4 linked regions of the Diceros bicornis minor genome follow. The protein of the gene in region 3 purifies or fractionates together with the protein of the main gene of each other region. This does not show direct contact. Links are inferred from orthologs where the notes say so. Each region holds a gene or a part of one and is shown on either strand. Other genes may lie near its edges. The genes, in order: DDX5, HNRNPUL1, HNRNPH1 and HNRNPM.

Region 1 (7,619 bases), on a different chromosome or scaffold from region 3:
TAGGTGGTTCTTCTCAGATTGGTTTTCCCACACTCTAAAAAGTCAATCAGTCTTCCAGGTGTTGCAATACAGATTTCCACACCTTCAATTAAACACATAAATGTAACCAAGACATCCAAAACTTTTAGCAACATCAGTAATGAAGAGAACCTTTTTTGTTTACATGCCTCTCTCCAAATCACGTATCTGTGGTCCCTTGGGAGCACCACCATAGATGCAAGTGGACTTCAAGCGACATGCTCTACAGTATTCAGCAGCTACTTGCTGTACCTGTTGGGCCAGTTCCCGAGTTGGTGCCAGCACCAAGCACTAAGGAAAGAGGAACAGAAAGCAGAAGAGCTTTTACCAGAGACCTGAATCCCAGTTTTCAACTGCTAATTTATCAGTTTACAGTGGCATATTATTTTGCTGTCCAATACCCTAAAATGCTTTGTCTCCAGTCAACTCGAGTAGGATAACTAGAGTCTCCCCACAAAACCACCACAAATTATGTCTTTTGCTATATAGTCTATAAAATCTCTAAATTACACTTCTAGCCAAAAATTAAGAGAAAATACATATATACTTACAATAGGCCCATCACCTCTCTCTAGGAATGGCTGATGATTGATGTGGACTATGGCAGGCAGCAAATACTATTCAGAGGAGAGCAGACAACAAGGTACCATTAATATACTTCTGGTTTCTTTGTATGCCCAATCCATGTTCTCTAGACCCATCACAGAGTAACTCAAAAGTTCTCCCAAACTTACAGACAATGTTTTTCCAGATCCAGTCTGTGCCACTCCAACCATATCCAATCCACTTAGAGCAACTGGCCATCCCTGAGCTTGAATAGCAGTGGGTTCAGTAAAGTTCTGCCTTGCAATAACATCCATAACGTTTGCTGTAATTAGCAATAGCAACTTAGTAAAAATTAGTAGGGCCAAGAGAAAGGGGGGAATTAAAAAAAAAAAAGGAGAAGAAACAAAAGTAGCACTTACCAGGAAAGTTTGCTTCATAAAAATTCAGAACTGGCTTTGGGCAATTGTGACCTCTAACCGTAATTTCCTTGCTTCTTCTATATGTATCCACCTCTTGCTACAACACAAATTACAATAATCTAGTGTGTGTCATGATAACCGCCTCTAACACAATCAGTAGGCCCCTAAATTTATAATTGATTAGCTACATTAATGTTGCCATTTTAAATCTGGATCCACATATGAAAACCCTATATAGCCCAAGAACCCCATATCGTGTTACACTCAACCATTCTAAGTAGAAAAACTCAAAGCCAACTGTTTCCAAAAAGTAACACCTCTTCCCCAACTACCAAGTCAAAAAGCAGTAATTTCTCAAAACTTGGTCATTTGCTAGACCTTTCTGGTCCGACTTCCATTTACTATAAGTTGTTACTGAGTTACAGCCTAGTGGGGCCAACGAAATTACTCACTGCTGTGCGCCTAGCCAAATCAGGGTGTTCTTGATAAAAATTCTTCTCAAATTTGGGCAGCTCATCAAGGTTCCACTTCTTTTTAACTAGTTTCTCCCCAGGGTTTCCAAACTTCTTTCCAGATAGGGGCCCTGCCCTACTTCCTCCAAATCGAGGTGCCCCAAACCTGAAATTAAAAAAGAGTTACATTTTCAAACGCCTACACAGGGCTTTACATATAGACAGACTTACTAACCCTTGGCACACACTCAAGATCAATTAAAGACTTTTGGAGGTTTAAGATCTAGCTCTAGCCTTAATGATGGTCATTCTCCCAAACCCACAATCAGCATCCTATCTATCTCATTTCCCGTGGTCCCAAGTACACACTACTGAAGCTAAGTCAACAGCCCGGGATTTATCAGGTCGGAAATACACTGCCCAAACGCCAGAAGTTCAGACTACAAGTACAGACAACAGCTTGTGGCTACCAGTCTTTCCCACAAGCTTATGAATTAAATATCTGGGAGAGAAACAATACAAGAAAGGAGAAGCTTAACAGCTACGTTATTTCTCAGCTGTTTCAAGCACAGCAACTTTGGTTTTAAGTGGATAACGGGACAGTACAGGCAGCCAGAGCATTACAATGAGGGTTCTCCAGGACGCTGAAGCCAGTGGAGTTGGGGGATCCCGCGGAAAGGCCCCGGAGCAAGGTAGCAAAATTACATAACGCGAAAAAAAGAGGAGGAGGAGCTGGCGACTACCAGGGGAGGAGTCCCGACCCAGGCGGAGTCGGCCGGGCGGCGTTCCCGCTGGGGCGGCGCTTCCCCCTTTGTCTCGCATTTCTCTCTGCGCCACATTTTCTCGACGCTGCCATTTTGAGCTCCTCCGCCGGGCGGGGTAACAAAGGCGCCGCCGCCATGTCCGACGCCGGCATTTTGTACCCGCGGCTCAGCCACATGGCCGATTCCCGCGGCGCCGGCCACCCCCCTGCCCCCGCGGAGGCTTCAGAGGCGGCTCCCTTGGCTCCCGCTGAATCCTGGGGGCCCCTAAAACACCTCCGGAAAGCTTGCACCTAGAAGCGGCGACTCCGTCCGCCTCGAAGCGTCGCGCTCGCCTGCCCTAGAAATACGCTCCTCCGCATTCTCCCAACAGCGGCTAAATCGCCGAGGCCCTGATGGCCCCCGCAAACAAAGGGCGAGCTCGAGGGCCGTTAACAGGCGAATCTCTTCTAGTCACTTTTGGACAAATATCAAACATTCCATTGAAGAGGCCCATGGGTGGGCTGAAAAAGACAAGTTCCCACCCTCTCCACCGCCCGCCGCGACCCTTATCGGCCTCCCATCCCCCACCCGCCGGGCCTGACAGGTCAGTTCTCACACTTACCCTCGATCCCGGCCGCGGTCTCGGTCACTCGAATAACCCGACATGGCGTCAATGGTTGCGGTTGGCGGGGAACGAAGTGGAGAGAAACGGGTGCGACGAGTCGCTGGAGCTGGCTTCGACGACGGCGAAGCCTTGCGGGGGCGGCAGAAGCAGAGGGACAGCGATGACTGGAGCAAGAAGTGCTCCACAAGAGACTGGTGGAAATGAATGAGGTGCCGGCCGCGTCCCGGCAGCCGGTTTTATAGCCTGGACCGCCTCCTCCGCCGCACAGAATGCTGGGAGCCGCTCTATGACCTAATCACCCCGCCCCTGCGCTGAGGCCGCAACGCCCGCCGGCGTTCCGGAATCCGCCGTGTTCTCGCCCCTCCCCCCAGGCCCCTCCCTCAGAGTCGCCCGTTTTTCGCCCCTTTTATGGCTGGGCCCACCCACCACTGGGAGGCCCTAGCTTGCACGCTCTTGACTCCACCCTTTTCTCGTCTGTCTACACCTTAAGGAAGCCACCCTGCCCTTTTCCTGGTCCGGCCCAAGGGATAAAATGGTCAGCCCACTTGGAAATGTTTACGTCTCCAAAGAGCCTTCACGGCCATAACCAAACGAGAAGGCGTGAAGGCGGAGCCTGGCATTGTCACGTGGCTGCCCCCCCATCCGGTGAGTGGACCGCACTACTTCCCCAGTTGGCATCAGCGGAAGAATACAAAACGAAATAGCTCACCGGAAGTGCCGTGCTAAAGCCCCTGAGAGACCGGCCAGGGCTGCTGGGTGACCTGGGCTGTCAAACCCACCCACCGGAGAATCCCTTAGCAGGATCTTGTCGCGGAGAATGGTACCTCGACTCCGCAAACCGCCGCCCCGGCGCGTGCTACGAAAGGAAGTGCTCCTCTGATGACCAATCAGCAGTGAGAGGCCGTTTTAACGTCCCTCCCTCCTTCACCCCTCCTTCGCTGCGCTTTCGTTTCGTTCCGCCTCTTCTCAGCACTGTGTGTGCCCCTTGCGGCCCTTCCAGGACACCGTCCACCGCGCGCCCGGCCAGGAGTCTGGTGCCGACCTGCCTCCGCGACATGGCCGGGTCGGAGACTGGTGAGTCTCGCCTTGGAGCCGTGGTATGTGTGGACTGAAGCTGTCCAAATCCCTGAACGGCCCTGCCCATTTTATCTTGAGGCCTCGAGCCGGCTTCAACTAGGACTGGGCTGCCGCCGGGGCTGGTGACACACCCGGTCGTAGACGGTGGGCTCTCTGGATAGGGTCTCCTAACCCCATTCCCTGTCCGCTTCGAGGCCACCGAGCGCGATTTTGGGGCGGGGGAGAGGAGGCCCTGCGGCGAGGACCGTAGCACGCCGGTATCCTGGTGCAAAAGGGCGGTCAGCAAGTGTTTTTTTCGGGACTCTAGCCCTTGTCGGTGTGCTCTTTGCTCCTCGCTGTGGGAACTCAGGTCGTACCTGCCGTCTGTATTGAATTTCTGAGGAATGGCACTCTTAAGATCTGTTGATGCCCCTGCCAAAGTAGAATAGTGGTGGATTTTTCTCTTCAGTGCCCTCTAGAGTTACCGGCTTTGTCTAGCACCACTTGAAAAACGAGTTGATTTGGTTGTCTAGGACGCTTTCATCCTTTTCTCCAGGACAGCCTTCAAACCAGTTGTCATGGTTTGGTCAGCTTTGAGGGATGGACACGGAGAGAGGGAGATAATGTGCCTTGAAGACACATACACACATTTATTTCTAGGACATACTGAAGATATCGAATACGGAATAAAAGAACTTTCCCCTTAATCGCCAGTCATTTCAGGGAACAAATGTTTCAAGCTTTCTAAATTACCTTTGGTCGAAAAACCCTTGAAATAACTTGCCTAATCCCAACAGTATCTGGGGGTGGGGTGGGGTGGTAGGCAGGAAAGTTCAACAGTATTGGTAATGTACTAGTTCTGAATTTAGGGACATTTTATATATTTCCCATATTTTCGTTCATATGCATTAAATATAATTTTAAAAACCAACAAGTGTAGTAGTGTTGGCATCACTACTCCAGTTCTTAACAGCCCCTTTTTGGACACCAGAGAAATTCTGACTTGCACAAGATAATTGGGTAAAAACGTGACTAATGCTATTGGGAATTTGAAGCAACATCCATTAATTAGTTTCTAGTAATCTCAGATTATCATTAACTGTCTTGTTTATGACAGTATTCCCATTTACTTGTAAATATATTTTACATAAAAACACCTATGTATGGCTTGTAAAATAGGAACTACAATAAGTAACTTAAAATTTTCAATTGCAACAGTGAAAGCTGGATTCACATCGTAGTTTTGGCTACATTGAAATTCTGGCACTCTGGAAATCATCCCAAGAAATTAAATACATCTTTTCAAAAATCATGCCTAGGAGGGTCTTTGAAATTTTATAACAATCAAATCCCTTATCTTCTACAGAGTTCAGTGTCTGTTTTTGTGGGGCTTGTTTTTTTTTAATGTATGTATATGACTCTTTCTAGTGCTATTTAAGGTTGGTCTTTTCCCTTTCCCAACAGAGTGGGTAACCATTGCCAATAACCTTCTTTTGAAATGTCACATACATCTGAGGATACACGAACTAGAAGATTGTGATGCTAATGTTTTTATTGCTCTTTATCAATCCATTTTGGGAGAAAAGGTGCCAGGTAAGGGTACTAAAAAGTGAGAGTAATATTGTCTGTATCTTAGGCCGCAAGTTTCTAGTGCTGTTAGTTAGATCCTATGGTGTTTATAAAATCTTGAGTTTTCTCTTTGTCTGCTTCTTATTTTTATCTAAATATTGCATTCATTACCTTAATGACTGCCTAGGAGACCCACCTGTAATAACAGCCTTGGTCATCGCTGTTTAATTATGCCTAATGCCTTGTGAAAGTCATACCTTTTCCATCAATCTACCTTCAAAGGTTCTAAAATTGAGTGGAACTTTGAAACTTGTTGGGTCCTGTTGCTTAAGCAATATTATGGATAAGAATTGTTGTTTGTTACCCTGGTTAAATACCTCAGAGTCCTTATCCATAAATTCCTCTCTTGCCTCTGTTTCTTTCATAGTTGATAACCATTAAGTATTATAAGCTCTGTATAGTCTCTCTTCCTTTCCCCCTGTTACCGTGAGTCAGTGCCCTCATCACCTCTTGGAATAATGGGATGGTCTCTACCTGGTATCTTTCATGCTAGTCTCAACCGTCTTTAGAGTTCAGAGGCATGTAGTTATTAGACTAGTCCTTTAAAATACTTTTTTCATCCTACCCCAAAACATTCATCTTCCTCAATACCAGAGGAGAAACTCCAAATTTAAGTTGATATTAAAATCTTTCTGCACTTTGGTCCATACTGACCTTTTAATCCTTTGTACCAATAATTCCCAATAGGCTGCTTTAACACGACATGCAAGAATTCTACTTTCACACCTGTTGTGGGTTTTTTTCTCTCATGGAAAGCAGCCCATGGTTATGGGTTAAAGTGTCACCACATGTATTGCCCCCTTATTAGAATATTAGCATCGCCTTGAATTTAGGGACCTCTCTATCTTCCTTTAGCATGGTGCTCATTGTAGAGCACGTTCATATATATTTTGGTTGAATAAATATTCAGTCAATAATTATTCAACCAGTAAAGATTCTGCTGTGTGGAATTCAGGCTCTGTTAACTTTATTTGTACTTTATAGCCTGTTCTGTTTGGGCAGAGCTTAGTTTTGTAGCAGTGGAGCTTACTCACAAGCCTGGTCAGAGACAGATAGGTGAAAACTTGGCCCCTCATAGATGCAAAATTATGTGGCTTTTTTCCCACAGACCTCATAGCTATTCCTAGGAGTCAAGAGGATGACGCTCACAATGTACAAGCAGTAATTGATTCATTGGCCTTGGATTACCTGCAGGTCAGCTTGTCTCATATAACAGGTTGGTATATACTTAGCTATCAGATAATTTTGCATTTTACTTAAAATAATTTGTTAGGTAGAATCCCAGACATTGTTTAATTAACAAATGAGTAATCTTATGAAATAGACTAACCAGCAAGACTGAGCCAAGACAGTTGACTGGTGTAGTTAAGTCAGCCATCCTTGAGAGCTTTTCCAGAAGAGTCAGACATTGAGTTTGTGATGGCTCTGGGTCTGAGATGTAAGTATCCTAGCTGGTAATTTGAGGTATGTTTTGTTGTTCTTCTATTATTTTAAAGCTACCATCCTGCTTGTTTGTAGTAGCTAAAAATTAGAAATACCTAAATGTCCATTATTAGGGACAGGTTAAATAAATTATGATAGCTCATTACAGGGAACTACTCTGCAGCTGTGAAAGATGATTGATGATGCTCCTTAGGTACAATGTTTCACGTTAGTGGAACAATCTCCACTATATATTGTGTGAGAAAAATGTGGTGCACTTACAATGATAATGTGCAGAGTATGCTACTATTCCTAAAAACAAAGGTAGGGAGAATATATATGCAGTTGATTGCATACAGAAGAACTCGTTAGAAGCATATGCAAGAAACCTGTAATACTGAATGCCTCCAATAAGGGGAACTTCAGGTTTGCAGAACAAGGGTTGGATGAGACTTTTTGTTGTATACCTTTTGCCCCTTTTCAATTTTGAACTGTGTGAATATATTACCTATTCAAAATAAAACTGTAAATTGTTTTGAATCTTTTTCCAAAACAAAGTGTACCATGCTTGTATTCTAAAGCCAAACGTCCCAAGTATATTTATAAGTCCCTATATTTATAGATAGAAAATGAGGATTATTCCAGTAAATTATTTCAAGCTAATGAACAGAGGGAATCTTGGGGACTTGAAACTATACTTAAATCATTG
Region 2 (6,903 bases), on a different chromosome or scaffold from region 3:
TGGCTGTGCCAGGACCAGTGAGGGAGAACCACAGGGAAGGAGAGACTATTCTGCCACTTGCTAACTGACTGGATCCTTTCTCACAGGACAAATACATCTGGGCACAAACCAGGTGCAGCCCAAAGGGAGGAAAGTAACAGATCACGTGGTTTGCTACAGGTCTGTTTACCAGAGCTGAAAGAAGGGTTGGAGGGGGGCATGAACGGGGCTCAAAGGACTTTGCTGTAGAGGGTAGGAGAGAGATGAAGAAATAGAATATCTCCTTAATTGGAACACGGGGGGCCCTTTCAAACCATTCTGTTTCCTCCAGGCTCCAAGCACAGTGCTCTTCTTCCCATAGAGCCTCATATCTCTCTTCTTGAGAATCTCTCCTGTGCCCACTGAGGCAGCTTCGTCCAGAGAAGCTATGATTCTGGGGTCCTTCTCCACTCTCTAAAACATCCATCTCCTAATAACAGGCAGACCCAGTGCTAAGCCCCTTACACATGCGATCTCATTCACAACAATCCTGGGGGCATTAGTCTCCGTATTTTACACACAAGGAAACCAGGGCTCACCGAGTTCTGAAGTGACTTGTCCAAGTCATGGAGTCATATTTGAAACAAAAATTTGTCTGAGTCTAGAGCCTGTGCTCTGGAGCACCTAACTCGCTTTCCTAGACACCTCCAGCCATTGGCCCTTTTTCCTAGGCATTCTTGCCAGGGTGTCTCCTGCCTTAGACATGCACGCTGGGCCACTCCTCTTTCCTTCACAGGTCTCTGCATAGGAAGTACTCTTTCCAGCACCTGGGTCCTGGACAAGCCCTAGGCTGCTCTCCACCCTAAATCTACACTCAGGTTGCTCCCCTCCCGGAGATCTCATCTCTCTCGAACAAGTAAGTACTCAACGCCCACTCCAAATCATGTCTCTTCCCTGACCCCCTTGTTCTCATTCCCTTAGCCCCATGGCCCAGGGTGCCCTCTTTTCAGAGAAATACCAGAAATCCTGGACGCCAGTATCCTTTCTACTTACTCCTTACTCTCCCCAGTCCCCATTCCCTAGTCCTGCTAGGAAGCCACCCTTTTCTAACTCCAGATTTACTCCCACCCATACCACGGTCTCCTCTCTTCAGACTATCACAGATCTATCCTACTCCCTCTCATTTCAAGTCCTACCTTCTGGCTGATGCAGAGACTCCCTGCTACCCTCTGAGGTCTCCCCATCCCTGGGCACACAAATAACTGCCTCTGGGAACCAAGGAGCCCTCTCATGGAGACACCCAGCCCCAGAAACACTCCCCGGACTCCACCCAGAGGCCCCCAGACAAATCAACAGGTTCTTTCTCCTTACACATTCTACATTCTCCCCTCCCCCCCTCCCCCATATTTGCTAGACCAGCTACACACTCCTGTGCTAGACACAAGGATCCTCCGTCCCCCAGATACTCCATCGACTTCAAACTCCACCAACCATCTGTCCCGCTCCACTCCTAGCTACCTCTGTTCTCCAAACAACCTGTACTGTTAATCCAAGATCATTCAGCAGTAGCCCCTGAGTTATCTGTCCTGAGAGCCTTCCCAGCTGTAGTCCTCTAGGTCCCTTGTCCAGTGAAGCATCCTTCCCTCCCCTGCCAGCCTCCGGACACCAAGATTCCCTACGCTTCCTCTGGAAGTCAACCAGAAGGTCCCAAGATTTCCCAGCACCAAATGCCCAAGCTGCCCCTGCCTCAAGGTTGGCCTGCCAGCCCTGGATCTCACACTCCTACAGGCCATCCTCAGACAGATGTGGGTCTCCCATAGTCCAATCATACGGTGGTGTCCCACATCCCCTACACACTTATCAGCCAAACAGAGCACCCAGTCCATCAGACCCTCCCCGGCCAGACACTAGCACCCCCATTTCATCAACCTATTCCAGTACCAAATTTGAGAATTCCCAGTACCTCATCCAGCAGCAAACTCCAGGATCCTCCATCCTCAAAACTCTCCTAGTTCTGGACACCTGGTCATTCCTTCCCGAGCACTAAAACGAGGCTCCTAACGCCCAACCCACTCGCCAGGCTAGCACAGCCCCCAAACCCCTAGGATCCCCATTTCCAAGATCCTTCTCAGCCCCTGAATAGAAAATTTCTTGTTCTTCCGACTCTCTCTGGCCCCAGAAACGACGGCTTCCGGTCCCCGAGCCCCAGGCTCTACACCCCCCAGACCGTCCTCCTCTCCGAAACCAGGAGCCCCCACTCCACTATCTCCTTTGCACCAAATGCCAGGATCCACCCTCCGGTCGTCCCGAGGCCCTGGTCCCCAGATCCTTTTCAGCGGCGGGTGGCGGGATCCCCCAATCCTCAGACCGTCTCCCCGACCTCGGGCGCCGGACTCCCGCGTCCCACAGCCCTTTCTCGGCCCGGACTCTGGGCTCCCCGGCCCCCGCCCCGCGCACTCTCACAATGTCCGTCCGGCCCCGAGTAGCCGCCAGGCTCCGGGTGCGGCTGCAGCCCGGGCGGCGGTGGCTGCGCGGTCCCCTCCAGCTCGGAGCCCCCCTCGGTCTCGACCTCCTCGTTGTTGTGCCCGGGTCGCCCCGGTTCGTCGTCGGCCTCGAGCTCCCGCTCGTCGTCGGGCTCCTCGGCCTCCAGCGCCGCCTGCAGCCGCTCAGCAAGCTCGGCCTTGAGGCCGCGAGTGTCCAGGCCGCGGCGCTGCAGCTCCTCGCGAAGTTCGTTCACCTTCAGACGGCGCACATCCATGGCCCGGGCCCCCGGGGCGGCCCCCGAGCCCGGCCCGGCCTTCCAGGGCTCTGTCCCCCTTAAACCTTTCCTGTCAGTAGGCGAAGGGGGAAGGGGGGGGCCCCCCACTCCAATGGCGGCGGCGGCTCAAAATGGCCGCCGCCGCCGCCTCCCCCTCCTCTGTTGCCCCGTGCGATGCAACACGGGTGCCAATTGGTCACCTCGTGAGGGCAGCGGGCGCGGGCCTGGAGATTCAGCCAATTAGAGCGCGGCTTTCAAAAGAACGGCAAAGAAAGGGCTCAAGAGCTGCCGGGGAGGAAGCGTTGGCCTACGTTGATGCCGCGGCCGGAGCGGAGGGCGGGAAAAGGAGGGAGGCGGAGCGCGCGGTGATTGGGTAGCGCCGGCGCGCTCTCTCTCGTAGGGTCAAATGAGGGAAAGGGAGTAAAGACTTGGGCCAATCAGCGACGAGATCTCAGAATGAGCGCCCTCACGGCCTTTCCTGCGCGGTCCTTTCATCAAACTAGTGTCTCTGTAACACATATCCTGATTGGTCTAGATCTCCCGCCCCTAGAGGCGTCCAAGCGGGTAAAACCACTAGAACCAATCAAATGGAGGGTCGGCAGACCCTCCCCCCCCTTCACTATTGCCTTTAAAAACCGGAAAGAGATGAATTCACGAAGGACCTACCCTTTGCCGTTAGGGCGGTTTCAAAACAATCTGCCCACCAATCGCAGTTATTGTTTTATCTCACTAAAGCTAGTACGGTTGGATCGCTTTAGGAAAAGCTAACCAGATTGGCCATTTTTCAGCGGACGGCCTCACAAATCTCGCTGTAGAAGGAGGTATACGAAATAGAGATTAAGTGGATTAATTATTCTTAGCCTGGAAAAAACTCAGTTGTCTTAATGAAAAGCAACCCTTTGACTTCAGAGAGTCCTGCAGGTTTGAAAATAGAGGCTAGTCTAACAACGGGAGAAAAGTTGTAAAGGAAATGGCACCCTCTCCCCTTTGATAGTACATCTCACAGGGCGCCTCTTTCCCCGATCTGAGCTTCGCTGCCCTCTCTCTCTATGGTTGGGATCTTACGTGGAATGGGCGCTCTGCACGCGACCATAGAGCCGTCCCCCCCGGAAAGACCTCCAGAGGTTCGCGGGTCTCTACCCCAAATCCTCTAGACGCCTGTTCAGTGGACGTGGCTGTTTGGCGTCTCTACTGACAAGCTCAAACACACAGGTCCGTAGTTACGCCTCACGCTGCTAAATACAAACGCCACACAGCGTTTCACAATGTCTAACGCTGCACCACCTGTCGCCTCTAACTGAAAAGACTCAAAACTTCTGTAAGATGCACAATCGAGACACACAATGCAAACGCCCGCTGCGCATTGAGCCATACCTTCAGCCCACAAAAGCCACACACGACCTCTATTTAGACAAAGGCACACACAACACAGATAAACAAATGGCCGTGAGTCAGATCAGATGCATCAATTCAAGGGGTAATACACCAAACTGCAGTGTAGATGTGCCCACTAAGGTCCGCACACGCAGGCGGCATCTAAAGATAAAGACACACAGGACAGTTACACAAGCTTACACTACGGCAACCTATACACCCAGCACCCACTCAGAAGCGGGACAGACACTCACGTGGGCCCAGAGGTTTCAGTCCAGACACCCCGCCCCACGCCCACGTCCGACTTCCTCTCTACCCCCAGCTTCCCAGAATGATTTGTTCTAAAAAAGTTTGTGGCCCGGATTGAACTGTTCTCGGTTCTCAGGAGCCGCCACCGGGGGGCGTCCGGGCGCTGCCAAGGGTTCCTCCATCTGCTCTGGACACACCCAGGAACGTGTGCCCGCGATGCGTGCAAAACACAGGGGACTTGTCTTGGCAGGAGTCCCTTTATGGGCTGGTGATTATCGGAGGTGTTCTGTGCCTGTGTTTCTATGTGAATCTGAACGTTTGGGTCTGTGAGTACCTGTTGTACTTTATATGTCTCTGAGTATTTGTGTCACTTTACTCTTTGTGTGTCTGTATCTGTGTTACTCTAGTTTCTCCCTATTCCTGGGGAGTATCTGCCTGTGCATATGTTTATAAATATGTTTGTATCTGTGTAATTTTGTGTGTCTCTGTTACTCATGTGTCTGAATTTCAGTGTCTTTGTATTTGTGACCAGGTGTGCCTGAGTATGTCCACTAATTCATGTATCTGTTACTTTGTGGGGAGGAGTGTCTCTGTGTGACCTCGTGAGTATCTCTGTGCCTATTCCTTGCCAGGGGTTTCAGAGAGTCTGCATTTCTTTGCTTGCGTGTCTTTTTGTCTATGTGTATGTTCATCTCTACCCTCTTTAGTGAGGGGAGAACTCCTAGACCCCACCAAACTCTTCTTTTTACTGAAGGGGAAACTGAGTTGCCAGGGAGGGAGGCCACATGACAGCTGAGTGGAGACGAGAGGAGACGGAAGTGTGGTTACAAAGTTTTATGTGATCTGGGCCCCTCTGGAGGCGCCAGCGTCCACACTCAGTACAGGGGCATGAGAGACTGGCTCAGGGGGGCAGCATGGCCCAAGAGGAGGAAGATTGTCCCCTGGGGAAAGGAGACATTCCTAATGCATTGCACAGGCTTGAGGGGGCACACCCCCACATGAAGGGAGGAGGAAGCAGAGGTGGCTAAGAAGGGGAAGGTCACACAGAAGAATATAAGGCTAGAACCTTGGAATCGTCCCTTGGAATTCTATGCCTGTAGACCTGTAGAATCTTACAACATTTGAATCTTAACACTACAGTGTCTAGAATCTTAAGATTTAGAACTGTGGATCTTAGACCCATAACTAAAATCCTAGAAAGGCAGAATGCAGCATAGAACCTAAAGATGTCCAGCATTAGAAATGATAAGAGGGCTGGCCCCGTGGCTTAGCGGTTAAGTGCGCACGCTCCGCTACTGGTGGCCCGGGTTTGGATCCCGGGCACGCACGGACGCACTGCTTCTCCGGCCATGCTGAGGCCACGTCCCACACACAGCAACTAGAAGGATGTGCAACTATGACATACAACTACCTACTGGGGCTTTGGGGAGAAAAAAGGAGGAGGATTGGCAATAGATGTTAGCTCAGAGCTGGTCTTCCTCAGCAAAAAGAGGAGGATTAGCATGGATGTTAGCTCAGGGCTGATCTTCCTCAAAAAAAAAAAGAAAGAAAGAAATGGTAAGAACTTTGGTATCTAGTTAGTCACAATTAACTGCAGAGACTTATACCTCAGATGCTGAAGATCCAGAATCTTGGACCAATAGAGTCTAAAGTGTCTTGGAACATAGAACAGACCAACATTAGAATCTTAGAGTTTAATAATCTAGAATCTTGAAGCATATGATCTAGAATCTCAGACACAGAGAATCTAGGTTCTTAGGCTAAGTCTTAGAACATCACATCTTAGAACATGAGACCTTAGAAACTCCATCTTTAGACTCTTAGAACTTTTGAATTGCAGATTCTAGAATCTTAGACCTTTAGGATCCAGAATCTCCTAACAAGAGTTTCAAGGATCATAATGCCTTAGACCTATAGTTGGCCATCATTAGAATCTTAGAACTTGAGAAGATAAAATCTTGAAGGCTTATGATCTAGTCTTACAGCCAGAAGATTTACACTCTAAGAGGCTTAGAATATCAAATTTTAGAACATTAGGCCTTAGAACCTCCATGTCTAGAATTGTAGAATTTTTAGAATTGTAGAATCTAGAATCTTACACCCTAAGGATTCAGAACCCTAGAAAAATAAAATCTAGAATCTTAGAGTCTTAGATCCTAGAATTAGAATCTTAGAGCTTTAGAACCTAAAATCTTGTGGGCTTTATCAAGAATCTTTGAACCAGAAAAATCTAGAGCCATAGAATCTCAGAGCCTTAGAATATAGGCCTTAGGACTTCTATGTCTAGAACCTTAGCACTTTAGAATTAGAGACTTTGGAATTTCAGGTCCTTAGAACCAAAGACTTATAGCATCTTTGAAACCTAGAACCTTTGAGTCTAGACTCTTTAAACCTTAGAATCTAGAATCTTGGAATGTTAGACCTAGGAGGACCCTTAGGGGTTGCAGTCCAACCCCTTCCTTTTACACATGGGGACACAAAGGCATGGAAAAGGGGGAGGATCTATCTGGGATGGAAGTGGAATAGGTAGGAAGAGAGAGCTGCAGTTGAGGGTAAGGCCTGGA
Region 3 (7,239 bases):
ACAATGTAATATTCTGCTAAACATGCAATTTTATCAGTTCTTCAGCATAAAAACATTCAAATACTTTAGGCCCAGAACAATTTCAAAACACTTTCTGTATTTCAGATACTGAGACTACATTCCACCTACTCTTACATTAGACTGACTTTTAGTTAAGTTTATAATTCCCTGGCTAACTAAACTAGTTGCTTCCATAAATAGTTTTTTTTGCATCAGAGACAATTCTAGTCCCATGACCCAATGTGTCTTACGACATAGACACTTGGGAGAAATCACAATCTAACTCATGCTAATCTAATGTGAAGGGATCTTACCTTTAACTTGAAGTACTTTGCTGAACAGCATTGTGAGGAAAGGAGTTAAGCTGTTGAGGACAATCCTCAAAGATCTACTCTGCACTATAATACTAAATACAGGCAAAGTTAGCATTTTGGAAGTACTTAATTTCCACCTTTAAGATGGGCTTAAATTATTTGAAGGTCTCCAGGAAGAAAAAACATTAATTCACCTGCATATACTCACAACCTGTTTTAATATCTGAGCTGCTAAACTTTAAGGTCTATTAAATCACACGTTGCCAGAAGCTAGCCAGAATTCGCTGCTCAGCAACAAACACGACTACATACCTGAGAAGAACTGAACAATTTCTTCCTTGCTACATCCAAAGGGGAGTCCTCTAAGCCGTACAAAGCCATCATTGGCCGTGTCAGGACTATTTGGACCAGTATGCTTCAACACCCAATCCATTTCAACGTTGTTTGACTTGAATACTGAAAGAGGTGCTTAGAATTAGTCAATTTTGGAAAGTTAGAGAACAAAGTTCAGATTTCCTGGGTCTTTAGATAATCTAGGAAGAGCTGCCATAAACTCCCTTAGATGACCATTTCCATGCGGTCAAATACCTAAAATTCAGAAGGGGTAAGATAGATCTCTCTGTGTTTAATGTTTTATTTACTGTTACTAGGGCAACGTAAATCAAACCTTCAACATATCTGTGTCCCATAGTTTCTCTGTCTTTTTTCAGGGCCAATTTGACTTCATCTTCTGATTCAAGTTCAACAAAAGCCTCGCCACTCGGTCTGCCTTCTCTGGTGTAGATGAAACGAATACCTTGAGCCCCATTTTGAATTTTGCAGTCTGGAAAGAAAACAACCGTTAATACAGAATTTAAAACTTAAAACCACCTCTGGGTGATACAGATGAACTGCCTCCTCATGCCCCTACTACAAAGTAGATCATCTGTGAAGCCTAAAATGACCAAATTATTACCAACTTCTAGGATGTCTCTGTCCAGTAATTAAGCAGTTATCCTCTCTCCATCAAACTTTTATTTCCTAGATGATATATTCCCAATCCATCAAAAAAATCCAATATTTAAAGCAGTTTCTAATGAAGTTATCTCTAAGTCCTCACTACCCAAGTGTCTCCCATTCAACATTTTTAACTGGTCAGCAAATTGTCTGGACTTGGTTATTTTGTGGCATTTCCTGAATATACTTAGTTGCAACTTTTCGTCTGCGGCATTTGACCGTTTTACCTTACTAGCAACATGATAGTTTCTTTCTAATCCAAATCGCACTGCCAATACTCACCTGAAAAGGGATCAATGTTACCAAGCTAAAATGCTCCAAGTTGCACAGCTGAAGCCAGACCCAGTCCTGCCCACTGCAAGGCGGCTTCCAGTGTACTTGGTTCTCGTTTTACAGGTCGTTTTCCGTAACCCACGCTAAATTCAGACAGTAAGTCAATACTACAAGTGTCCTTCCAAAACCCGGAAATTTCTTCCATCTTCCAAATATCTTTATCAGTCTAATCTTACACTAATGAGAACAAGGACGTTTTGGTAAAAATTATTCAGGATACTAGAAAAAACTAGATAGGCAAACTTCCCTGGGCTTCCGTGTCCTCAAATGTAAAGTGAGCCAGATCAAGAACTAGATGAGCAAGAACTCTTCAATTACTAAATCTTGATTAGGAAAATTGTCTGAAATTAAGAAGTGACATTTTAACTTTCCGAAGCAGAATGCCCCTTTTCGACAACATACTTTGAAAACTAGAAAGTATACGTTCTATCTTTTAAGACTTTGCAAAACATCACTATTACGCGCGCAGCTACTGGGCAATTCTCTCAAGATTGAGGAGGAAATCCCATCTATCCTTTGGAAAACACATTTACAGGAGGACTAGTGCTCGAGAGTAGGGAAACAAAACAGCCCGCCGGAGAGGCCACGCTCTCCCGAGGGCGGGGGGGCTTTCACAATTTCCATTGCGTAACGGCGGCCGGCGGGATCAGCGGTCGCCCGCCCCGCCAGGGGGCGCCCCGTCCGCCCCGCCAGGACGCCGGCCGCCCGCTGCCCCGGCCGCCAACTCCCGCCTCCGCTCCAAACTCACCAGAGAAGAACCGCTGCACTTCGTCGGCCGAGCAAGACCAGGGCAAGCCCCGCACCTTCACCACGAAGCCCTCTCCGCCCTCGGTGCCCAACATCATCGTCTCCGGCGGGTGCTGGCGTCGACAGACTGCGGGGCGGGACGAGGTCAGCCCGGGAAGCGCTCAAACCAACTGCCCTCCGCCCCAGTGGCGCCCGCTGCCCCGGCGCCTCAAGAAGAGCCGAGCCCGTGCGCACGCCCCAACCCCGGCGACTCTGCCCCCCAACACCCCGCGGCCGGCGACCGGGCCCCCGAGGCCGCTGTGGGCACCAAGCGCCGGCGCCCCGAACCGAGGAGTCCCCGGCCGGGCGCCAGAGTGGAGATGAGGAAATGGCGGCGGCCGCTTCCGCTCCGCCTCCTCCGACGCCTCACACAATAGAGGCGGCGGGGCCTGCAGGCCTCGGCCGCCCTGCGCGGCTCGGCGAGCCGCTCCCGGCTCCCAGGGGCAGCCTGCACCTCGCCACGGCCCCCCAGGCTCTACAGAAGTCTAGGGACACGCACTCCTCGCGAAAACGGCATCCTCGAGGGCCCCCGGGGGGGGGGGGGGCGAACACGGAGCGACACACACTCACCCAGACAAACGACTTCAGCGTGGCTGAGAAGAAATGGCCAGCGAGCGCCTGCGCAACCTAAATAAGGCCCTTCGAACAAGTTCTGCGCACGCGCAGCCAGAGGCCCGCACCGCCCGCTTGCGTCACACAGACATAGAGCGCATGCGTAATTTCATGAGCAAGCTCACCTCCAGCCAGCAAGTTATTGTGCGCATGCGTCTTGAGCTCAGCCCCTCCCACCTCCTTACACCCGCCGGGCTTTTTTGCGCCTGCGCCTTGTCGCGATTATTGAACTTCGAGCCTTGGCGGTTTAGACAGTCATTTAGTTTCATGCGCATGCGTCTTCCTTCAAGCGGTTCTCGCCCTACCCGCCACAGTGGGGGAGGGGAATGGCGGCAGTCAGTTCCCTATGGGGACAGTGTGATAGTCCCGGGCTCTGGGTCGTGGCGAGGGGGCCGTCTTCCTACCCCTACCCGCAGCCTATTATCAGCGCTCTTGGCCGACCTGAAAGGACAGGCTCCCCGCCCTCGCGCCACCTGTACCCCCTTTCTCCCTAGAGCCCGGCGATGACCACCGGGCCTCTCTTGGGGCTGCGGGGCCGCGCAGGCCTGTGCCTCCACCTTCCCGTTACCTGCCGCCGTCGGGCCTGGGCCCGGCCCGCGCGGGGTCCCCGTGCTCTGACTCAGTCCCGCACCCCGCCTTCGCCCTAAGGAACTCGCCCCCCACGACCCCGCCGCCCGCCCCAGGGTCGTGGGCCCTGACGCCGCGGGGCGCTCCTAGAGAGCGGGGACCGGATGTCGACTGCCGCGCGCGGGGGGAGCGCGAGCGAGCCGTCGGCGCGCGCCGGCTCTTTCCGGCTTCGTTCCCCCAAGACTAAGTAGGTACCGTTACATCCATTTCCCGGGTGGAGACGCTGGGAGGTGACCCAGGGTCGCCGCGTGTGCGCATATTGCACGAGACGAGCGATGGTCTCGATTTCCAGGTGCGGGAAATTGGAACAATGCCCGCAGCCCCTCAGGTCTCCCCTTCTCTGATCCTGCCAGTCCTTCCCACCTCAGGCCCGGTGGACACAGGCAGTAAACACATTAAAGATAAGGCAGTGTTGGACGTTAGTGAAGGCCTCTCTGAGTGCCACCACGGGAAGATGCGGACAAAGCATGTTCCCTCCCAAGCACAATGGTCTGGAGGCCAAATCCGGTTTTGACAGGTGTGAGAAAACAGAGACGACATCAGTGAAATAAAGGGGGAGGGTGATCCAAGATAGGATCCCAGAGCTAGGCAAGGCCTGATCTTGAAATGACCTTGAAATGCCATTTAGGCCTTGGCAAGGGTGTTAACTCCCGGTGCACGGGAAGGCATTGGCAGGTCTTCAGCAGAGAGCGAGAGGAGCTGTTTGTAAAGGAAAACGCAGTTGCTGGGAGTGAGGGGGACACAGATGGAACAGGCAGGGTGAAGGACGCTGCCTGCCCTCAACTGCAAACGGAGCTGGAGGAAATGGAAGGCCTTTTGACTGATGTCACCAAAATGTGGACTCCCAAGTCTTCCAAACAGGAGGTCTGTCTCTGGGTGATTCAAAACCAAGGAGAGGGGCCTGCCCCATGGCACAGCGGTTAAGTGTGCGCGCTCCGCTGCCGCGGCCTGGGGTTCGCAGGTTCGGATCCCTCGCGCACATGACGCACCGCTTGTCAAGCCGTGCTGTGGTGGCATCCCATATAAAGTAGAAGAAGATGGGCACGGGTGTTAGCCTAGGGCCAATCTTCCTCAGCAAAAAGAGGAGGATTGGCATCAGATGGTAGCTCAGGACTGATCTTCCTCACAAAAAAAAAAAAAGGGAAAGAAAAAGCAAGGAGAACACTTTTTGCTCTTGGATACTCTCTTTCCAGGACATCACCAAGACACCTCCTGGTGTGTCTTCTTAATAGGTGACAGCATTTGAGAGTTCTGGTCTTATTAAATGACCTAAGAACACTAGTTTCTGATTATATGAGGGAAAAACCCTGATCCCCTTGGTAGTGCATAAAAAATCATATTTTTACCTTTTGTAACAACAAGGCCACATTTCTAAAGTGTTTATTTTTCCTAATTTTTTTCTAAAGTTTTCTCGGATTTTCTTCCTTAATAAGAGTAAATGTCATGTATAATCATCATAGAAAGATTAGATCATATCCTTAGGATAGATTTCTAGAAGTAAAATTATTCAATGGGAGGTCTGAGTATTTTTAGGACTACTAATAAAAAAAGGTTATGGCACTTGACAACCCTCTCTGTGGTGTGTGAGTGTTCCATATCCCCTTGTTTTGCTGACACTGAAAATTTCCTTTCCTTTAATCTCTGCTAATTTAATACTGAGAAGACTCGTATCTCTAATTTGCATCTGTTTATTACTAGCAAGGTAAAGTAAATTTTATACACTTATAGCCAATTCCCTCTTATATAAACTGTCAGTTTGACTTCTTTCTCCAGTGATCTTTGGTTTTTATTAAAGCTATTAACCCTTGGCCATAGTTGCCCCAAATGTTTTTGTTTGCTTGCCTTTTAATTGTTGTTGTTGTTATTGGTTTTTATGTTTAGACATACAGAAGTTTTTTGTTGTTTTGCTGAGGAAGATTTGCCCAGTTGCCAGTCTTCCTCTGTTTTGTATGTGAGCTGCCGCCACAGCATGGCCACTGATAGATGAATGGTGTAGGTCCGAGCTGAGGAGCCTAACCTGGGCCAATGAAGTGGAGCATGCTGAACTTAACCACTAGGCCAGCAGGCCTGGCCCCAGAAGTTTTTAATTTTGATGAAGCCATGGGTGCTTTCCTCTGAGTCTGTCTTTAAGCTCAGAAAACCCTTCCCTATACAGAGATAAAGCACATATTTATTCATTATCTTTTTTATCAATTCTAAAACACACATTTTCTCACAGTTTAACCTCTCTAAAATAGCAATATGTCTTAAAAACCAATGGCATATCATAGTTTAATTGGCAGCATTTTTTTCTTAGTGGTACACAAATAATGGTGTGTCTTAAGATTGATGATACCTTAGACTTGATGGAAACTGTTATAGTCTACTTTTTTCTTTAATTTTTTTGATGACAGATTACAGCCATTAAAATTATGTTTTATAGATTTTTTTTAAATGGTGTGAAGAAATGTTTGTGATATAATGGTTTGTGGGGAAAAAAGCAGAATACAAAATTAAAAAGTGGTATATCAACCATGTAAAACTCTGTCAATGTTATATTAAAGCACTGTAGCCCCAGCACAGAAAGAAACAGCTCAGTGGGACAAAATCTAGAAACAGGTCCAAGGTGTATTTGGGAATTCAGCATTCAATGAGGTGATATGTCACATCAGAATGAAAAGAATTTTCTAAAAATGGTGTTAAATCCAATGACTAGAAATTTGGGAAAAAATAGTATTCACACTATACATCAAAATAAACTCTAAATAGATTAGAAAGATTTATGGGCCGGCGCCATGGCTTAGCGGTTAAGTGCGTGCGCTCCGATGCTGGCGGCCCAGGTTCAATCCCGGACGCGCACCGACGCACCGCTTCTCCGGCCACGCTGAGGCCGGGTCCCACATACAGCAACTAGAAAGATGTGCAGCTATGATGTACAACTATCTACTGGGGCTTTGGGGGAAAAAATAAATAAATAAAATTAAAAAAAAGATTTAAACTTGAAGTATGTAAAGCTAAAGGTACTAAAATAAAATGTATGTGTTTATAAATTTTTGAGATGAGGAAGGCATTTCTAAGTGTGAAATCAAAGACATAACCACAAAGGGAAAGACTGGTACATTGGCTACAGAAAAATAATTTTTAAAATTCTGTATTGAATAAAGCGAGAGAATTGAAAGACAAATAAATTGACAATTTGCAACACATTTGAAACACAAAGAATGTATGTGTGTGCATGCACACAGTGTGTGAAATATATACACACGTAAATATATACATATGTACATAAATAGACAGGAAATGTTCACTCTGTCCTAGTGTGTTACATACAGTATCTCATCTAAATAACCCAATGGGAGATATGTACTATTATTATCCCCATTTTACAAATAGGCAAACTGTAGCTTAAAGAGAGATTAGAGAAATTTGCTCCTGCTGCACAGCTGGTAAACAGTGGAATGGGGATTTTTTTTTTTTTTTTTGTGAGGAAGATCAGCCCTGAGCTAACATCCATGCCAATCCTCCTCTTTTTGCCAAGGAAGACGGGCCCTGAGTTAACATCTGTAGCGATCTTCCTCCACTTTATGTGGGA
Region 4 (7,532 bases), on a different chromosome or scaffold from region 3:
AAGCACAGAGATTCTGATTTAAATAAAACACTTCAAGTGACTGTTTAGTGAGAGGTTACCAGGGTGGCAGTGGAGTCAACACAGCCTCCCCCAGACTCTGGGTCAATTTCCTTAACCTGACTTTTCTCAATTGTTTAAAAAAAAAATTTCTCAGTTATAAAACAGAGTTAACACTAACATTACCTCCCCGGCAACCTACACTAAATATAAATTTTTATTTTTAAACTAACTAATCCATCTCTGTTTTCTGATTCAGCCACAAGATTAGTTTGGAAGTAGGTTACATCACTGATTTTAAGTATATGGTTCAACCTTTAAAAAAAAAAAAAAATCAAACCTGAAACTATATATTCCCCAGAATGAATGCTTTTTCTCCCTGACTAAATATACTCTAACTCTGAATCTTGACTGACTTTAAATGGAACAGATTTCTCATCAAAATAAAACAAATCCTCCTCTCACACCCCGGAGAAAAGTCACTGCAAAACAAGCTTCCTCTCTGGGGTCCTCCATCAAGCCTGCAGGCTCACTGCCTTTTCAGCTTACAGCACACTCCACTCCTGGTGGAGACAAAGGTCAGAAGAACCAAGTTTCACTCACTTTCCATCCCTCAGAGGCTTTCAAGATAAAAATCTAAATTCCTCAGCCTGGAATCCACTGCCCACCAGCCGGCCCCCGGCCCCCACTGTTTCAGCGTTGGCCCTCACTGTTCCAGCGTTAAGTGCTACAGCAGCATCAGTTCTCTATAAATATGCAAAGCATATACCAAAGTCCCTAGTCGTGGGCAGCTCTCTTCTCCCCTCTCCACAATCATCCTCTTTCATCCCCCTCCTCCTGAAGAAACCCCCTCTTCCCCACCCTGCCCCCAGGGGGTTCAGTTGTGGGGAGGGGAGCTGCTCCCTACCAGGTAACTCCTTTACTTCTATCACAGCATAATTACCTCACTACAAAATTATCAGCTGGCCTCTCCTCTGGGCATGGGCTTGATTCTCAAGAGCTTCCTAATGCAAAAAAAAAAAAAATACACAAAGTTTCCACCGACCCTATGAAATACATCTAAGTGTTGCTAGCTTCCTGAAAGAACTTCTGTTAAGCAGCCCTAGACTCTAAGGTTCTTTCCAACAAGAGCTATTTTATCTCTAAAACCTTCAGGTTCTTTCTAACGGTCCACGTGTCACATTTGTCAAATAAACCCGTCACAAAATGACTATTTGAAAATGGACAGTGGAAAATGGGAAATTTGAAAAACATACCCCAGATGCTACAAACTATAGCTAATTCAACTTCTCACCTAGCACGTTTTAGCAGCACTCCATCCTGTGATAACTGCTTTGAAAGAAAAAATACAGGAAATAAATGTAACTTAAAGGCATCCAAAAACGGCCCTCAGAAATCCTCCTAGGCTCCCCTAGACAGATGATGAAAAAAGTCTAAACGAAGGCATCCTTTTCCAGAGTTTTCGAGAGTCAAGTGCTGGGAATACTTCTGGGATGCCATTCTTTTGATTTCCGAGGACCAGGAATCATGGTATTTTGTTCCTCCCCACCTAAGGAGAGAAGGTTTGACAACAACACAGCTAGTCACCTAGCGAAAGCTCGGTAACATAAAGCGCTTTAACTACATTCACTTCTAATCCCCACAAACTCTAGGGATGCACATTAGAAATTTGTGGGAAAGCATATTCATAAGAGACATAACGAATAACAGAAGTATCCAGGAGCTGGTGACAGGGGGAAATCGGAAGTTACTGTTTAATGGCTGCAGTCTGAGATGATGAAAAAGTTCTGGACATGGACAGGGGTGATGGTCGCACAACACTGAACGCACTTAATGCCGCTGAACCGTACCCTTAAAAATGGTTTTAAAACTGTAAATGTTATGTTCCACATACGTTACCACAATTAAAAAAAAAAAATTAGTGGGAAATCACGTGTGCCCAGCCTCCCCCTCTCCTCCCCCCACGGGTGCCGGTGGGAGCCCAAACGTCCCTCCGCATCTTCCTTCCAGGTGACTGTCATCAGAACGAGTGCGGACACAAGACGATGCTCTAAAGCTTTGAGGACACTTGAACAGCCAAGGAGCAGAGACGGAGGCCCAAGCAAGGCTCGAAATGGTGACGGAGCCTGGAAGTGGGCGAGCCCGCCTGAGGATGGAAAATCTCCCCCGGGAACACGGAAAATGCTGTTTCTCTGCTTTTTTTCTCCTCCTCTTTGTTTGGGGGAGCGCAGGTCCGATCCCTGCACAGACACCTCCCGCGCACCTGGGGAGCCGGCGGGGGCCTCGCGCGCGGCCCCGGCGTGGAGCGGTTCCGGCCGGGCCGGGCGGGGCGGGGGAGGGGAGGGGACGCGGGGGCGCTCCGGCCGGCCTCGCGGTCCTGCCCGGCTCCCACCCGCCTCCGCCGCCGTTTACCGGGCCGAGCACGCGCGAGGCCCCGCGCGCGCCCTCGCTTCCCTTCCCTTCCCCCCAGTTTACGGGGCGGGAAACTGAGGCCCCGGGCGATACGGGGGGCGGGGGGTGAAACCACGCGCCCAAGGTCACCCGACAGGCCAGCGGCCCGGGGCGTCGGGCCTCTCCGGCTCCGGGGCCCGTGCCATCAGCCCCGAGCGCAGAGGCCGGGCCCGAGGCCTCGGCGTGGGGCTCGGACCCGGCCTGGAGGGACCCGCGGAGCTGGGCCAGGGCCGAGGAGGACGGAGGGAGCGAGCCTTGCGGCGCCCCCGGGCCCCTCGGCGGCCCCGGCCGCCCCCACCCCGGGCAGGCCCCGCGGGAAAGGCCCGGGCTGAGGCCGCGCCGGGGGGAGGCCTCCAACAGACCTAACGGCGCCGCCGCGAAGGCGGCCGGCCCGGGACGCGGAGCCGTGGGATACTCACCCCTTCGGGCCCGGAGCCCCGTTGCCGCTCGGCACGCCGGGCGCGCCGCTCTCCTCCTCCATTTTGGGCTCTGTCGCCGCCACCTCGGCCGCCGCTTCGACCCCTGCCGCCATTTTCTCCGCGTCTGGGCTTTGTGTGAGGGAGCCGGCTGCGCAGCACTGCGCCTGCGCACTCACGTGACCCGGCGCGACCAGTAACGCCTGCGCGCGCCGCGGCCTGCTCCCGCCTGGTCCCCGCCCGCCCCGGGCCACGCCCCCGTCGCGCGCAGGCGCAGACCGGCCGCTGTTATCCATTCATCCCCGCAACAAACTCGTGTTGGGCGCCTTCTGAATACTCCACCGGTTCTTGAGGTTTGGCACGGGAAGGATCTACTGACCCCACACCCGGACCTCGTCACTCCCAGTTTTCGGTAATCAGAGCTGCGGCAGAGGGGCAGAAAGTTCTGTTTACTAAGAATATAAAGGAGTTAGCCAGGCAGGAGGGCAGGACGCGGACGGGCCAGGCAGTGGAACTGGTGTGCAAAATTCTGTCTCTCTAAGCAAGTATCCTGCACCAGGAATATCTGGGCTCTGTCCGACCTGGCTCCCCACCACCCCGGGACCTCCTGGGTGCAGATCCCATGGCCTCTGAACCCATCAACCAACAAGCAAAACGCATCGCTGGGGTCTTGGTATGCGCTCACGGATGTTTCTTGAGTGAATGAAGCAGCAAGATCCAAACACGATGGAAGAAACGAGCTACAGGCCAACTGATCCCATTAAAACTTAACTGGGCCTCCTTCCTGCCTGATCCTGGCTGGGTCCCTTTGCCTAAGGGCTTGGCTCTGTCCCCAGACTGGTTTTAAGGACTGTTACAGGCTGTGTCCTGGGGCAGCCACGTGGCCTGGAAAGAGGCCAGAGCCCAGGGGCGCGTTCTGAGGCCTCAGGCTCCCTTCCCCAGCAGCAGCCCCTCTCTCTGATGTCTCTGGAACTTTGAAATGCTTCACCGAATCTTGCAGAAGTTCCCATCTAACCACCAAACTCGCTCTAGGCTTACAAAGGGAAAGAGGTACCCCCCCCCCACCCCTCAAAGAATGACTACATTTCATCAGGCTCTGGGGGAATATTCACCACACTCTCCCAGCTGCTTCATTCTGCCTGGTGATTCTGACCCAGGGTTGAGAACTCCAGGCCCAGAGAATAAATCCATCCCGTAGTCCAGCCTGACATGAAGGCTGTGCCCCACCCTCTTTCCAGCTCCGTTCCCACATTTCCAGCTCTTCCCAAACTCACCTGCCTCCCAGAATTCCCTTCTCTCGCCCATCGTCAAGCCCCTCCCTCCTCCCATGCCCCCTCCTGAAATCTCTGTTAAAATCGCCCTTGCATACCTATTAAAATCTTCTCCCATGGCCCCAATGGAATCTGTCTCAGTTTACCTTCCTCCCCGTTAGACCTCTCCTAGACTGGAGGGGCCCTGAGGCAGAAGGAGCCTCATGAACTTCTGAATTCCCTCGCCCAGCAGGGCTCAGAAGTGGCGGAAGAGGCCACGGCAGTCTGTCAGAATCAGGGAGGAGTCCCAATGCAAAGCGTTAGGGACAAGAAGCCACCTCTCTCTCTGATCCCTCCTCCCTCGGTGGGTGTGACAGGAGGTCAGGGACAATCAGGCCCTGGTTGTGGAGACCAACTCTTCCAGGCTAGGCTCCTACAGGCTGGTTGACTTAAACCAACAGTGCCCAGATCCTGGGTTCTGCTATCTCTTGAACTGTTATTTCCTTCACACTTCACATTTTCCTTTAACTGACACACCTTCTTATCCTTTAAAGACGCATGTTTTAATATTGTGTTTTACATTGCATGTAAATATATGCAAATATATGTAAATTGAGTATATGAAAACTTGCTATAAACAGCTAACTGTAAAAAATAAATAAGAAGATGATGCTATTCAAGTGTGAATTCAGTTGTGCATGCTGCCAAAGGCTCTGAGCCTGAGGCTTGTTCTCTCCTCCCTTAGGTTAAGGGTCATTTAAGACAGTCTAGCCCAACCTACAACTTTCTCCTTGATGTAATTGAAAGTATTAGAAGAGATTTGCAAAGGAAACAGCTCTTTTCACAATGGCATGTCCTGGGGCCTCTTTGCATCACCTCCAGGGGCACCACAATCCAAAATTGGCCTGAGAGAGGTGGGTGCTGGGCCTGTGTAGAGAGAGAAGATGCAGATGCCAGAAGGGCCCCTGAGCGCCAGCAGAGCGATTGCGCTTGGATAAGGTCCTGGGTTTCTGCAGACCCCAGATGCCTACAAAGCCCTGCTCGTCTTTCTAACTGCCTCTCTCCTGCCCCTCAGTCTCGCTGCTCCAGCAATCACGTCTGCCACACTGCTCCTCCTACAGGCCACACAAGTTCCAGCCTCCAGGCCTGTGCCCTTTACTGTTCCCTCCATTCCCGTGGCCAGGCTGGCTGCCTCTGGCCCTTCTACGCTGGGGTGGAAAGGGTTTTTTTACTCCGTGGGTGAACCACATACCAGACAGGGCTTCATGCTGAAAACAATAGAACATTCCAGACACTGTGCTAGGTCCGTCAGGGAGGTGTGATCTTGGGTGAGCGACCCCACTGCTCTGAGCCTCAGTTTGCTTATGTGCAAATGGGATTAATAAGAGAAGTCCAGAACCCACCTTTCAGGGCTGCTCTGAGTATGAAATGCGGCCCAATGCAGAGAACCCTTCCACGTGAAAAGCTCAGAAAGTGCTCAAGAAGTACATGTGGTTATTAGCACAACCATATTCTGCTGCTTTTCCTGAGTCCTCCTGGAAGGCAAGCTTAGAGCTCAGCACTAGGCCCACGAAGACCCAAGGTCAACCCCAACTCTCCTTCCTAGAGCTGTGCAACCTTAGACAGAGGCTTCCTTGCTCTGGGCCCCAGTCTTCTCATCCGTAAAATGGAGGCAGCAGCCATTCCTCCCCTCAAGGATGGTCTAAAAGGCAGAGAGAGGATGCCTGTGCAGGCTCAGAACTGAGGAACCCTCGAGAAGTGTGGACGTTAGTGATTAGTAAGTACACCAGCGTGGCATCTGGAGATGCAAAGTAAGTGGAAACTGTTCTCCTTATGCATAGCGATTTTAAACCATTTATTATATAACCCTGCTACCTGCTTTTCACTTGAAAACTCAGACTTTGCTTCTTCCGGTGTGTTTCATAACAGATCCCTCAAAACCAGCAGAGGGCCTCTGTTGTTGTTTTTTTCACCTGTTTGTGGTCCCCGGCTGCCCTGGGGTCCCAGGTCCCTCACTTGAGGCCTTGGTTCAGAAACGTAACTGACAAGTCCGTTTTGTCCAGCAAGGGCTCCTTTTATTCATTCGGGGTGGGTTTTTGAAACACGGTGCAACTTGATGAAGTCAAGGGTGCCGGGAAAGCGAGCCTGCCAGGTGTGGAGAAGCGCAAGAAGCTTGTGGAACCTTCCGGCCCGATGGACACCCTCGGCTCGCCCATGGCCACAGCTGCTGGCCCCGGAGGGGCCGAGTGGACCTCAGAATGAGATCAGGGTGCCTGATCCGTCCGAAGCTCAGGACCACGTCCACCTCCTCGGGTACAACCGTGTGCAAAACAGTCTGAAAGTATCTTCACACGGGATCACAGAATCGGCTCTGCTCGGTGTCTCTTGGCCTAAAAAGCGTTCTGGCCGTGCAGGAAGAGTCGGGCAGTTTCCGTCCCTCCAAACGCCAGGGCATCGCCAGCTGCCGCTGGCCCTGCCAGCCTGGCCTTCACACAGGCGTCTCCTCTGCCACCTTCTTCAGGAGTCCGGCTGCCAGCAGGGAGGGCTGGGGGCCCTCGGGGCCATCCACATCCTGGATCTTCAGGCGCACTTTCTGGTTGGTCCTTCTCCACTCGGAGTACAGTTGGCAATGGTAGCGGAAGGAGACCTGCGGGGCAGCAGCACAGGGGTGGGTGCGAAGGCCAGCCGGCCGACCTCCACCCCCAAGAGAGGAAAACTGGGCCCCTGGATGCTTCCAGAAGCAGAGCCAACGTCCAGGCCCTTCTCATACAGACTGTGCACACGCACCCATCACTGTCCTGGGGCAGCTCCCACCAGCACTCGGGGCCCTGCAAAGGTGAGGGGGTCTACAGCAGGGAGCAAGGGACCCCCTTTCTGTCTCTCAGAGGGCGGGAGTGAAGCAACGCAGCCCCTCAGAAGGGGCTCATTGTCAATGGGTCACATCATTGCCAATACGTGGAAGCCACCAAGATGTCCTTCAGTCGGCGAATGGATAAATAAACTGAGGGACACCCAGACAGTGGAATATTAGTCAGTGCTAAGGAGAAATGAGCTCTCAAGCCATGAAAAGGCATGGAGGAAGCTTAAATGCATATCACTAAGTGAAAGAAGCTGCTCTGAAAAGGCTACGTAATGGATGATTCCAACCCTGTGACATTCTGGAAAAGGCAGAACTATGGAGACAGTAAAAAAATTGGTGGCTGCCAGGGGCTGGGGGAGGGAGGGATAAATAGGCAGAGAGCCAAAGATTTTTAGTACAGTGAAACCGCTCTGTATGATACTATAATGGTGGACACATGTCATTACACACTTGTCCAAACCCATAGAATGTACAGCACCAAGAATGACCCCTCATGTCAACTGTGGACTCTGGGTGATGATGACGTGTCCATGTAGGTTCATTAGTTGTAACAAATGT

What was found.
Region 1: the proteins of HNRNPH1 (region 3) and DDX5 purify together in Homo sapiens (affinity purification with mass spectrometry; 4 studies listed by BioGRID and IntAct, with this or other methods). This does not show direct contact. The link is inferred for Diceros bicornis minor from reciprocal best matches to the Homo sapiens genes HNRNPH1 and DDX5.
Region 2: the proteins of HNRNPH1 (region 3) and HNRNPUL1 fractionate together in Homo sapiens (co-fractionation; 3 studies listed by BioGRID and IntAct, with this or other methods). This does not show direct contact. The link is inferred for Diceros bicornis minor from reciprocal best matches to the Homo sapiens genes HNRNPH1 and HNRNPUL1.
Region 4: the proteins of HNRNPH1 (region 3) and HNRNPM purify together in Homo sapiens (affinity purification with mass spectrometry; 3 studies listed by BioGRID and IntAct, with this or other methods). This does not show direct contact. The link is inferred for Diceros bicornis minor from reciprocal best matches to the Homo sapiens genes HNRNPH1 and HNRNPM.

Annotation. Positions count from the first base shown.
Region 1 is NC_080757.1:47,202,507-47,210,125, forward strand, and holds the start of DDX5 (probable ATP-dependent RNA helicase DDX5), read right to left. Parts: upstream 3,007-7,619; 5' UTR 2,845-3,006; coding exon 2,801-2,844; intron 1,602-2,800; coding exon 1,436-1,601; intron 1,081-1,435; coding exon 984-1,080; intron 887-983; coding exon 753-886; intron 636-752; coding exon 570-635; intron 310-569; coding exon 168-309; intron 83-167; coding exon 1-82. Other genes in the region: CEP95 (centrosomal protein of 95 kDa), read left to right, coding at 3,859-3,877, 5,324-5,452, 6,597-6,704. UniProt on the Homo sapiens protein: Involved in the alternative regulation of pre-mRNA splicing; its RNA helicase activity is necessary for increasing tau exon 10 inclusion and occurs in a RBM4-dependent manner. Binds to the tau pre-mRNA in the stem-loop region downstream of exon 10.
Region 2 is NC_080773.1:15,284,367-15,291,269, reverse strand, and holds the start of HNRNPUL1 (heterogeneous nuclear ribonucleoprotein U-like protein 1), read right to left. Parts: upstream 3,001-6,903; 5' UTR 2,717-3,000; coding exon 2,422-2,716; intron 622-2,421; exon of another isoform or gene 558-621; intron 537-557; exon of another isoform or gene 1-536.
Region 3 is NC_080740.1:92,600,642-92,607,880, forward strand, and holds the start of HNRNPH1 (heterogeneous nuclear ribonucleoprotein H), read right to left. Parts: upstream 3,019-7,239; 5' UTR 3,000-3,018; intron 2,518-2,999; 5' UTR 2,489-2,517; coding exon 2,392-2,488; intron 1,138-2,391; coding exon 982-1,137; intron 771-981; coding exon 627-770; intron 1-626. UniProt on the Homo sapiens protein: This protein is a component of the heterogeneous nuclear ribonucleoprotein (hnRNP) complexes which provide the substrate for the processing events that pre-mRNAs undergo before becoming functional, translatable mRNAs in the cytoplasm.
Region 4 is NW_026691615.1:283,853-291,384, forward strand, and holds the start of HNRNPM (heterogeneous nuclear ribonucleoprotein M), read right to left. Parts: upstream 3,002-7,532; 5' UTR 2,981-3,001; coding exon 2,868-2,980; intron 1-2,867. Other genes in the region: E3 ubiquitin-protein ligase MARCHF2, read right to left, coding at 6,603-6,761. UniProt on the Homo sapiens protein: Pre-mRNA binding protein in vivo, binds avidly to poly(G) and poly(U) RNA homopolymers in vitro. Involved in splicing.